2 linked regions of the Canis lupus familiaris genome follow. The protein of the gene in region 1 binds, or shares a complex with, the protein of each later gene. Links are inferred from orthologs where the notes say so. Each region holds a gene or a part of one and is shown on either strand. Other genes may lie near its edges. The genes, in order: BANP and IRF2BP1.

Region 1 (4,582 bases):
ACCCAGTAGTGTGCTAGGCCTCGCCAGGAAGGAGCCAGCAACCCATATCCACAACAGAGCTACAGACAAAAGCTTTGTTGAGATTTTGAAATAACATGAAAAAGATCAGTCTACAAAAAACAAAACAAAACAAAAAAACAAAACAAAAACAAAAAGATCAGTCTACATTTATCTACTCTGTACTCAGATATTTGCATGTCCATGTTAAGAATTCTTAGTTAAGTGTTTAGTTTTGGCTACGGTTGAGGCAGAGGTGGGGATAGAAGACATTGCCCTCACTTATCTCTCAGGATTTGCACGTTTAGCTTCTGCCATCCTCTTCCCCACTATGAGCACACTCTAGACCAGAGTGTTTTGGTTTCTAAACCCTGGTTTTGTCTTCTTCCAGCAGTGTGACCTTGCTGAGCAATTTCCCTTCCTCCCAGGACAATTCTCATTTCAATGCGAGCATCTTTTCCAGCACCGATCTTCTGTGATTGTTCTCTGTAATTTCTTCAAGGCACCTTTCCTGTAAAGCTAAGCCAAAGATCAGCCTCGGTAGATCCCCCAAGTGTGCATTCTGGAAGAGACTATTACTAGCAAGGTTGCCCAAGGGCAAGCAGCTCGTTACTGCCTCCAAGAATCAGGTTTTTATCATCGGCAAAAAGGGAAGTAGGCAGGAAAGTTACAGAAACAGTAGAGCATTTTCTTTTCCAAATGAAAATAGCTCCACAGTCTTGTTTTTGGACGACCGAAGAAATTCTTGCCCGTTGTAAACAACTCAGAAAACAAAGGCAAGTGTAAAGAAGAAAACAAAAAGCAGGGTAACCCCAACGCACAAGAAGAGCAACAGTGATACCAGTGAGCAGGAGTAACATTGCCGGATGGTGTGTACAGCCAGTGGTTTTTCCCCACGAGCACCAACAGACCAGCACTTATGCTACACACGTGTAACACAGCCACATGCACACCGCATGTTCGTGTACATACGCACACACAGAGATTACTTCCACACGGGACAGGTCACACCACGAACACACATTTTCCCCCACGCGTGAGCCCTGGGAAGTGTGGTCAGACTCCGGGGACCCGGAGCACCAGCTATTACTCGGGGGCACCCCTTCGGAGTCGCAGCGGCCTCAGGCCCCCCGTCTCCAACTACAAGTCCCAGCAGTGGCGGGCGCGGGCGCCGACGGGAGGCCGGAGTCCGGAGAGACTACAAGTACCAGCAGGCTTGGCGCACACGCCGGGACTACGATTCCCAGGAACCTCAGCTCGCGGCTCGCGCAGAGCCCTCCGGGATATGTAGTCGTCGCGCGCACCTAATTCCTATTCATTCAGCCTCTGAAGAAACGTAAATTCCTCTCGCGGTCCACCGACGCGACTTCTCACGGGGCTAGCGAGGAGACGGAGCGCGCGCCGGGAAAGGAAAGATTCCAGGCCCCAACCGTGGCGCGGCCGGACGACGCGTGCGCATGCTCGGCGGTCGCCGGCGCCGGCGAAGGCGCGCGCGGGAGGCCTGGAGCGGCAGGCCCCGCCCCCTGGCCCGGTCCCCGGGCCCGGCGCGCCCCGCGTGAGGAGCCTGCGCAGACGGGGCGGGGCGGAGGGCCGCGGGGAGGGACTCGCGGCGCCTGCGCAGAGCGGCGGCTTCTCTCGCGAGGACGGACGCCATTATCGCATCTCCCCGACAAACACCACGAGAATTCCGCAGCCCACACGGTAATTGCAGCTCCCGCAGCCGGTCGCGTCTCCACCTCCCCCTTCCCGCGGGGCGAGAGCGAGAGCGAGAGCGAGATCTCCCCTCCTCCCTCCTCCCTGCGCCCTCCTCCGGCCGCCGCGCCCGCGCCCGCCGCCCCCGCCCGGGACGCCCTGCGCGGCCGCCCAACGGCCCGCCGCCTTCGGCCCCGCCGGCGCGCCCCGCTCCCGGCGCCCTCCCCGCCCGCTCTGGCTCCCCCGGCCGCCGCCGCCGCCGCCGCCCCCGCCAGCCGCCCCCGCCCCCCGCGAGGGCCCCGCGCCGCGCCCCGGACGGACCCGGGCACAGGCCTCCCCTGTCAGTCGGCGCCCGGGGCCCGCGGGCAGGCCGCCCTGCGCCCGGTGTGCCCGCCCCGCGGGGCCGAGGGCTCACGGGGAGGGGAGGGGAGGGGAGGGGAGCGCTCAGGCTTGGGGAGTGCGGCCTGGGGTTTGCCTCGAGACCCCCGCCCCGCCCCGCCCCCGGTGGGCGCCCTGCACCGGGCGCTCCTCGAGGACGCGGGGGCTCGGGGGCTGCCGGGGGGCTCGGGGGGCTCGGGGCTGGCCGCCCCTGGCGCCCTCTGCACCGGCTGCACCCCCCGGCCTCGCCAAGGTCGGGGTAGTCCAGGGGTCGCCCCAGGTGAGGGACCCGGGGGACCGCCCGCCCATTACTCCGCTTCCGGACCGCCCTGCATACGAGGATCTAGAGGATCTGGAGGATCTAGCGGCGGGGAGACCGCGGAACAGCCCCCGAGATGAGTCGTCTCTGTTTAGCTTCGTTCTCCCTTGTGTTGCACTAAAGTGAGAACATGTGCTCAGGATGTTGGATTCCGTGGACATCCCGTGGCCTTAGGGTCTGGAAGTGGCTGCCGTGCCCGCGCTCTGTGCTGTGGCTGGGCCTGCGGACCACTCCCAGGGCTTCTCATCGCAGCCATCTAGAGAGGTGACCGGCCACCGGGGTTAGGACACTCGTCCAAGACGCGGGGAGCCAAGGCCTTGAACTCCTCTCTCCGAGGTCCGTGCTCTTAAATAATAATACATCTAGCAGTCATGCACACGGTAAACCCTCAGGGGAAAACTTAGGTTGAAGAGCAACAGCCCCGTCTTACTCCTCAAAGACTTAACATCTTTTTGCTCTTGGGGAAGGTCTCCGTAGCTCTGGAGAGTACCTTGGTATTTTATTAGTCTTACACATTGTTGACATTCTGTTATCATACGATGATTGAGCCCTTCCTATCATATCCCACCTTTTCTATCCCCTTAATTCACTGTGTTCACTTGACTCAGATTGTTTAAGACCGAGCAAATACTGTTTTTCACTTCTACAGCTTTCTGTTTTTTTCTGTTGTTTGTAGTGGCCTTTCTTTTTCTTTGCATTCTCTGTTCCCATTGACTCTTTACGTTGTAAATTATCAAGGGATAAGGTCATCTCTCCAACTCCCCACTCCTCCCTCCCCCCCATCCTCCTCAGCCCTCTGTCCTCTTTTTCTAATCTGGATTGATTACTCAGGCCAGTACAAGTATTCTTCTGATATTTTCCTTTATTATACATCCCAGTTTGTACAGGATTCCATGTTTTAATCTTGGCTTTCTTCATTTCAATATCATTTCTGCCAAATAGTCTTATTCGTTTTGAGTAACTCCTTACAATCCGCTTTGGTGTTAGGACATTTCCAGAGTGCCCTAGGATGTGGAGTCTCACTGTGGATGTTCAGTGCTTCTGGGCGCTTGCCCTTCAGCTCTGGGAAATCCTCTTGTATCTGACAATTTCCCCTGCATTTACTCTTTTATTTTGATGATGGACATCTTGGATTGACCCACTGAATCTTGTGTCTTTATCCTCTTTTGTCATTTTCTTCTCTTTTTTGGGAGAGGGCTTCAAGTTATCTTCCAATCCTGTTTAAAATTTTTTATTTCCACAGTTGAAAATTGATCAAAAACTTATGTGTTCTCCCCGCCCCCCCCCCCCCCCCAGTAGCTACTTGTGAACATATTCTTGATTTTGAGGATACCAACATGGGATTTTTTTCAATTCTTTTGTTCTTTGATTTCTTATTTCCTCTAGTGCCATTGTTGCCTTTTAAAAAATATTGGCTTCATACTTCATGTGGCAAATATTCCTTAAATATTGGTAATTGTTGTTTAAAGCAAGAGGAAATGGGCAGAGAGCTCTGAGTCTGTGGGGCTGGTTTTGAAAATGTGTGGGTCTCCCCTCAAGTCATTGGGAACTTGTTACTGTGTGGGACTTTGAGTGCCAGATTGCAGAGACTTTTTCTGTGGGTCTTACAGCTTAAGACCAGATCCCTTTGATTTGGGATTGGTCTACCTGGTCTAGGGAGGGTGTGAGCAGAAACGGCCTGTGCTCTGCTGAGTGTTCTGGCCTGCCACAGGCTTACCCACTTTGGCTGTACCCACTCCTGTATGCCCCAGATTGTGGTTTCCTTTGCCTCCATTAGATCCTATCAGTCTCCCAGAAATTTGCAAAGTATCTTGTCTGTGTCATATTTTCTTTCTTGTGGGATTGTTATATGCAATTAAAAATTAATTTAATGGGATGAGCAGAGATCACCTTTGTGGCAAGTTGCTCCTTGTGAGCAGGAATTACAGAGCCCGTTCTTGTCTTTCTGCTCTGCTGCCTCTCTTGGTAATGGATGCCATCCGTCAGTGGAACCGATGCCCTGAGCATTGTCCCCGTGGTCATCTCCGCGTTGCAGTGTGGGCGGATGTCGTGTGTTCCTCCTGGAGGTTCTGGCTCTGCAGCCTTGGAGGCATGCCAAGCTCAGCTGGGGAAGGCCAACCATAGACAAGTGTAGCAAAGGTTGTGATTTCAGACTCTTAAGGTTGTCTTATCACACTGGCTTCTTATACCATGTCA
Region 2 (4,516 bases), on another chromosome or scaffold:
TTGATTAAAATGTAGCTAGTACCCCAAAACTGCAGCTAGTACCTAAAAAAACCTACACTTGTGCACATAATACAGACATACCTCGCTTTATTGTGCTTTGCTTTATTGCACTTTGCAGATACTGCTTTTTTTATTTTTTACTAGTTGAAGGTTTGTGGCAACCCTGTGTCAAGCAAGTCAATTGGTGCCATTTTTCCAACAGTCGCTCACTTGTGTCTGTGTTACATTTGGTAATTCTTGCCATATTTCCAACTTTGGCATTATTACTACATTTGGTATGGTGCTCTGTGATCAGTGACTAAAACTCAGAGCTCAGATGACGGTTAGCATCTTTTAGCAATAAAATATTTTAAAATTAAGGTATATATGTTGTTTCTTTGGACGTCATACTAGCGCACGCGCATAGCGTAACCTTCACTTTTAGACGCGCTGGAAAAACCGAGAAGTTCATCTGATTTGCTTTGTTGCTAGATTTGCTGTATTGTGGTGGTCTGGAAGGAGCCTACAATATTTCCGAGGTATGCTTGTATTTCTTAGGATGAGGCAAAAGTAATCCTTTTTAACGCCTTTACACACACACACACACACACACACACACACACACACCCCACCTCAGGGGAGTCAATTTCCAGAAAATAATCCAGGTGGTAAGTGAAATTGTGAAGCTGACACTGATTGGCTAGCAAAATCAGAGCTGCTAGGATAGCAGCAGGATGTGGGAGAGGAAGCAGACAATCCAATTAGTTTGAGAACTACTAATGAATGCAACTCTGACAAGCCATTCAGATATTTTTTGAGCGCTTATCCCAGCTTACAGAGAGCAAGAGGGTGATGGGTGTTAGAATCTGGAGACTTCTCTCCTCCCCTCCCTAACTCTTCCTGCCTGACTCGCACCGTTCCCGATGCTAGTCCGGGGGATGATGCGGGGTGTCCCCAAAACCTGGTTGGTCCGATCAGGTAGTAAGCACTCAAGGTTGTAGAAAAATCACCCCCCACAACTCTTGCTCGCCATCTCTGGCCTCTTTCTCTTCCACCAAATTACCGAGCCGTAGAGGATGAGGATTCCCTCAACCTGGTGCTCCCCCAAAAAGTAAAGCGCCCAGAAATTGAGCCGGGGGTGGGAGACAGCGGGAATGGGGAAGGCCTCCTCTCCACCTCCCAGACAGCGGAAGTGCGTCAGTTTATCCTCCCGGCAGAGCATTTTGGGAATTGTAGTGAAGCGGTGGCGGGGAGGCGGGAGGGAGAAACACCGCGTAACCCTTTGTAGACCGGAGCGCGCGGCCGAGCCGGAACGGAGTTCGAGGGCGCTCCACCACTCTCTTTAATAGATGAGACGACTGAGGCCAAGTCCTGGCCCAGAGGCCTCCGTTCTTCCCCTCGCTCCGGCTGTTCCCGGCCCAATTCAGAGAATGCTACACAAGACAGCAGGAAAACGAGGTGCCAAAGCAGAACCCTCCCTCCCCGAGTTGCCAGCTTTCCCGTCCCCCCTACCCTGCAACCATCCAATCAGAGCCCCTCCGCCCCGCCCCAGAAGCTGCTGCCTCCCTAACCAGTCATTGGCCCACCTTTGATGGGCGGGGAATCGGGCTTCAGAGAGAGCAAGACTTTTGCCTGAAGGTGCACAGCAAGTCCGATCCGACTCTAGACGCCCGAAAGCTTGTCCACTTCCTACCATGTCTGAATCCGGGGTAGCTCTGACCATTCAGATATCATCTCCGCTCCCAAGCCCCAGTGCCCCAGCTCCTCTGAGCACGCCGAGCTCACCGCCGGGCAGCGTCGAGCGGTAGGATTTGCGCGGCTGAGAGACGGCGAGCCCGCTCCTCCGGCGCCAGCCGTCCCCTTTAAGAATCGGCCCCGGCGGGACTACGTTTCCCAGAAGGCTTTGCCGGCGCGTTATGTAACTTTCCCTGCGAAGCGGCCTCTGGGGCAGAAGGAGGTGGAGGCGGCGGCGGCCGTTGCAGCGGCGGCGGCGGCGGGAGCGGCGGGACCCCGAGGCGGCGGCGCCCGCGGCCCATCGCGGGGCCGGAGCTGTGCGCCTCGGCCGGGAGCCCGGAGCGGGCGGAGGCGCCGACGTGCCTCCTACAGGCTTTTCAAGGAGGCGGGAGTGAGGAAAAAGGCTTAGGGCCCAGGGGGCGGAGAAGGGGGGCCGGGCCTGGATCCGCGGGGAGGCCGAGCCGGAGAGGCCTGACTGTGGCTCGCGCGGTCCCCGGGACGCGAATCGAACGTCGGGCGGCGCGGATCGAACGTCGGCGGCGGGTGGAACGCCGGGGCTCAGCGGCGCGCGCGCGCGGGGGTCATGGCGTCGGTGCAGGCGTCCCGCCGCCAGTGGTGCTACCTGTGCGACCTGCCCAAGATGCCGTGGGCCATGGTGTGGGACTTCAGCGAGGCTGTGTGCCGCGGGTGCGTGAACTTCGAGGGCGCGGATCGCATCGAGCTGCTCATCGACGCTGCCCGCCAACTCAAGCGCAGCCACGTGCTCCCCGAGGGCCGCTCCCCCGGGCCCCCAGCCCTCAAGCACCCGACCACTAAGGACCTGGCTGCGGCCGCCGCACAGGGGCCTCAGCTACCGCCTCCGCAGGCCCAGCCCCAGCCGTCAGGGACAGGCGGCGGCATCTCGGGCCAGGACCGCTATGACAGGGCCACATCGTCCGGCCGCCTCCCCCTGCCTTCGCCCGCCCTGGAGTACACCCTGGGGTCCCGCTTGGCTAATGGGCTGGGCCGGGAGGAGGCCGTGGCGGAGGGGGCGCGAAGGGCCCTGCTTGGCTCCATGCCCAGCTTGGTGCCCCCCGGGCTGCTGGCAGCTGCAGTGTCTGGCCTGGGAAGCCGAGGGCTGACGCTGGCACCCGGCTTGAGTCCTGCCCGTCCAGCTTTTGGCTCCGATTTCGAGAAGGAGAAGCAGCAGAGGAATGCGGACTGTCTGGCAGAACTGAACGAGGCCATGCGTGGCCGGGCAGAGGAGTGGCACGGGCGCCCCAAAGCTGTGCGGGAACAGCTGCTGGCCCTGTCTGCCTGCGCCCCCTTCAACGTTCGCTTCAAGAAGGATCACGGGTTGGTGGGGCGGGTGTTCGCTTTTGACGCTACCGCCCGCCCGCCGGGCTACGAGTTCGAGCTGAAGCTTTTTACCGAATACCCCTGTGGTTCTGGCAACGTGTACGCAGGAGTCCTGGCCGTGGCTCGCCAGATGTTTCATGATGCTCTGCGGGAGCCGGGCAAGGCTCTGGCCTCATCAGGCTTCAAGTACCTCGAATATGAACGGAGGCACGGCTCAGGGGAATGGCGCCAGCTGGGGGAGCTGCTCACCGACGGGGTCCGCAGCTTCCGAGAGCCCGCTCCTGCCGAGGCCCTGCCGCAGCAGTACCCGGAGCCAGCCCCTGCAGCCCTCTGTGGCCCACCCCCGCGAGCCCCATCCCGGAACCTGGCGCCCACGCCACGCCGTCGCAAGGCATCCCCTGAGCCCGAGGGTGAGGCGGCTGGCAAGATGACCACCGAGGAACAGCAGCAGCGGCACTGGGTAGCGCCCGGTGGCCCATACTCCGCCGACACCCCCGGTGTGCCTTCACCCATCGCCGCCCTGAAGAATGTGGCGGAGGCCCTGGGCCACTCCCCCAAGGACCCTGGCGGGGGCGGGGGCCCTGTACGCGCTGGGGGTGCCAGCCCCGCAGCCTCCTCCACCGCCCAGCCTCCCGCCCAGCATCGTCTAGTGGCCCGCAATGGTGAGGCAGAAGTCAGCCCCACGGCAGGGGCAGAAGCTGTGAGCGGGGGTGGTAGCGGCACCGGGGCGACCCCTGGGGCCCCCCTGTGCTGTACCCTGTGCCGGGAGCGGCTGGAAGACACCCACTTCGTCCAGTGCCCCTCAGTGCCCGGACACAAGTTCTGCTTTCCCTGCTCACGGGAATTCATCAAGGCACAGGGCCCTGCCGGGGAGGTGTACTGCCCCAGTGGAGACAAGTGCCCCCTGGTGGGCTCCTCTGTCCCCTGGGCCTTCATGCAGGGCGAGATCGCCACTATCCTTGCTGGAGACATCAAGGTTAAGAAAGAACGGGACCCCTAGGCCACCACTGTCACCAGTCTACTGCCTCCCACCCCCTTGCTACCCACCGCTTCTGCGGATAAATTATTCCCTCTCCCCCAGCCCAGTGCTACCCCCACCTGTGTACATACCCCCTTCCTCATCCCAGATGGGTCCCCTGGGGTAGATGCATTGAGGGTGGGGGGAGAAAGCTTGTGGCTTCTGTTCGAGGGGGTGTTTGGGGTCCTACGGCCCCTCCAGTATCCCTCGCCCCTCCTTGGCTTGGCTTTGCTGCTGCTTGTAGTTGGGGGAGAGGTGCCCCCCTCCTCCTTGAGAAGGGGCCTCCTGAAATCTCGCTCTTTATAAACAAAGCAAAAGCATTTTATTGCCCCCCCCTCCCGCCCCCTTTTCCTCCTTCAATAAACCGAAAGATGGTTTTTTTTTTTTTCCTTCTTGGTCCCTTAGTTGTGTGAGATGCTGCGCCCTCTCTGGGACCGAACTGGTCCT

The links.
Region 2: BANP (region 1) and IRF2BP1 share a complex: the UniProt entries of both Homo sapiens proteins name them as parts of the corepressor complex. The link is inferred for Canis lupus familiaris from reciprocal best matches to the Homo sapiens genes BANP and IRF2BP1.

What each region holds. Positions count from the first base shown.
Region 1 is NC_049226.1:65,737,816-65,742,397, reverse strand, and holds the start of BANP (protein BANP), read left to right. Parts: upstream 1-1,574; 5' UTR 1,575-1,698; intron 1,699-2,299; exon of another isoform or gene 2,300-2,722; intron 2,723-4,582. UniProt on the Homo sapiens protein: Controls V(D)J recombination during T-cell development by repressing T-cell receptor (TCR) beta enhancer function. Binds to scaffold/matrix attachment region beta (S/MARbeta), an ATC-rich DNA sequence located upstream of the TCR beta enhancer.
Region 2 is NC_049222.1:110,448,730-110,453,245, forward strand, and holds IRF2BP1 (interferon regulatory factor 2-binding protein 1), read left to right. Parts: upstream 1-1,601; 5' UTR 1,602-2,296; coding exon 2,297-4,051; 3' UTR 4,052-4,458; downstream 4,459-4,516. UniProt on the Homo sapiens protein: Acts as a transcriptional corepressor in a IRF2-dependent manner; this repression is not mediated by histone deacetylase activities. May act as an E3 ligase towards JDP2, enhancing its polyubiquitination. Represses ATF2-dependent transcriptional activation.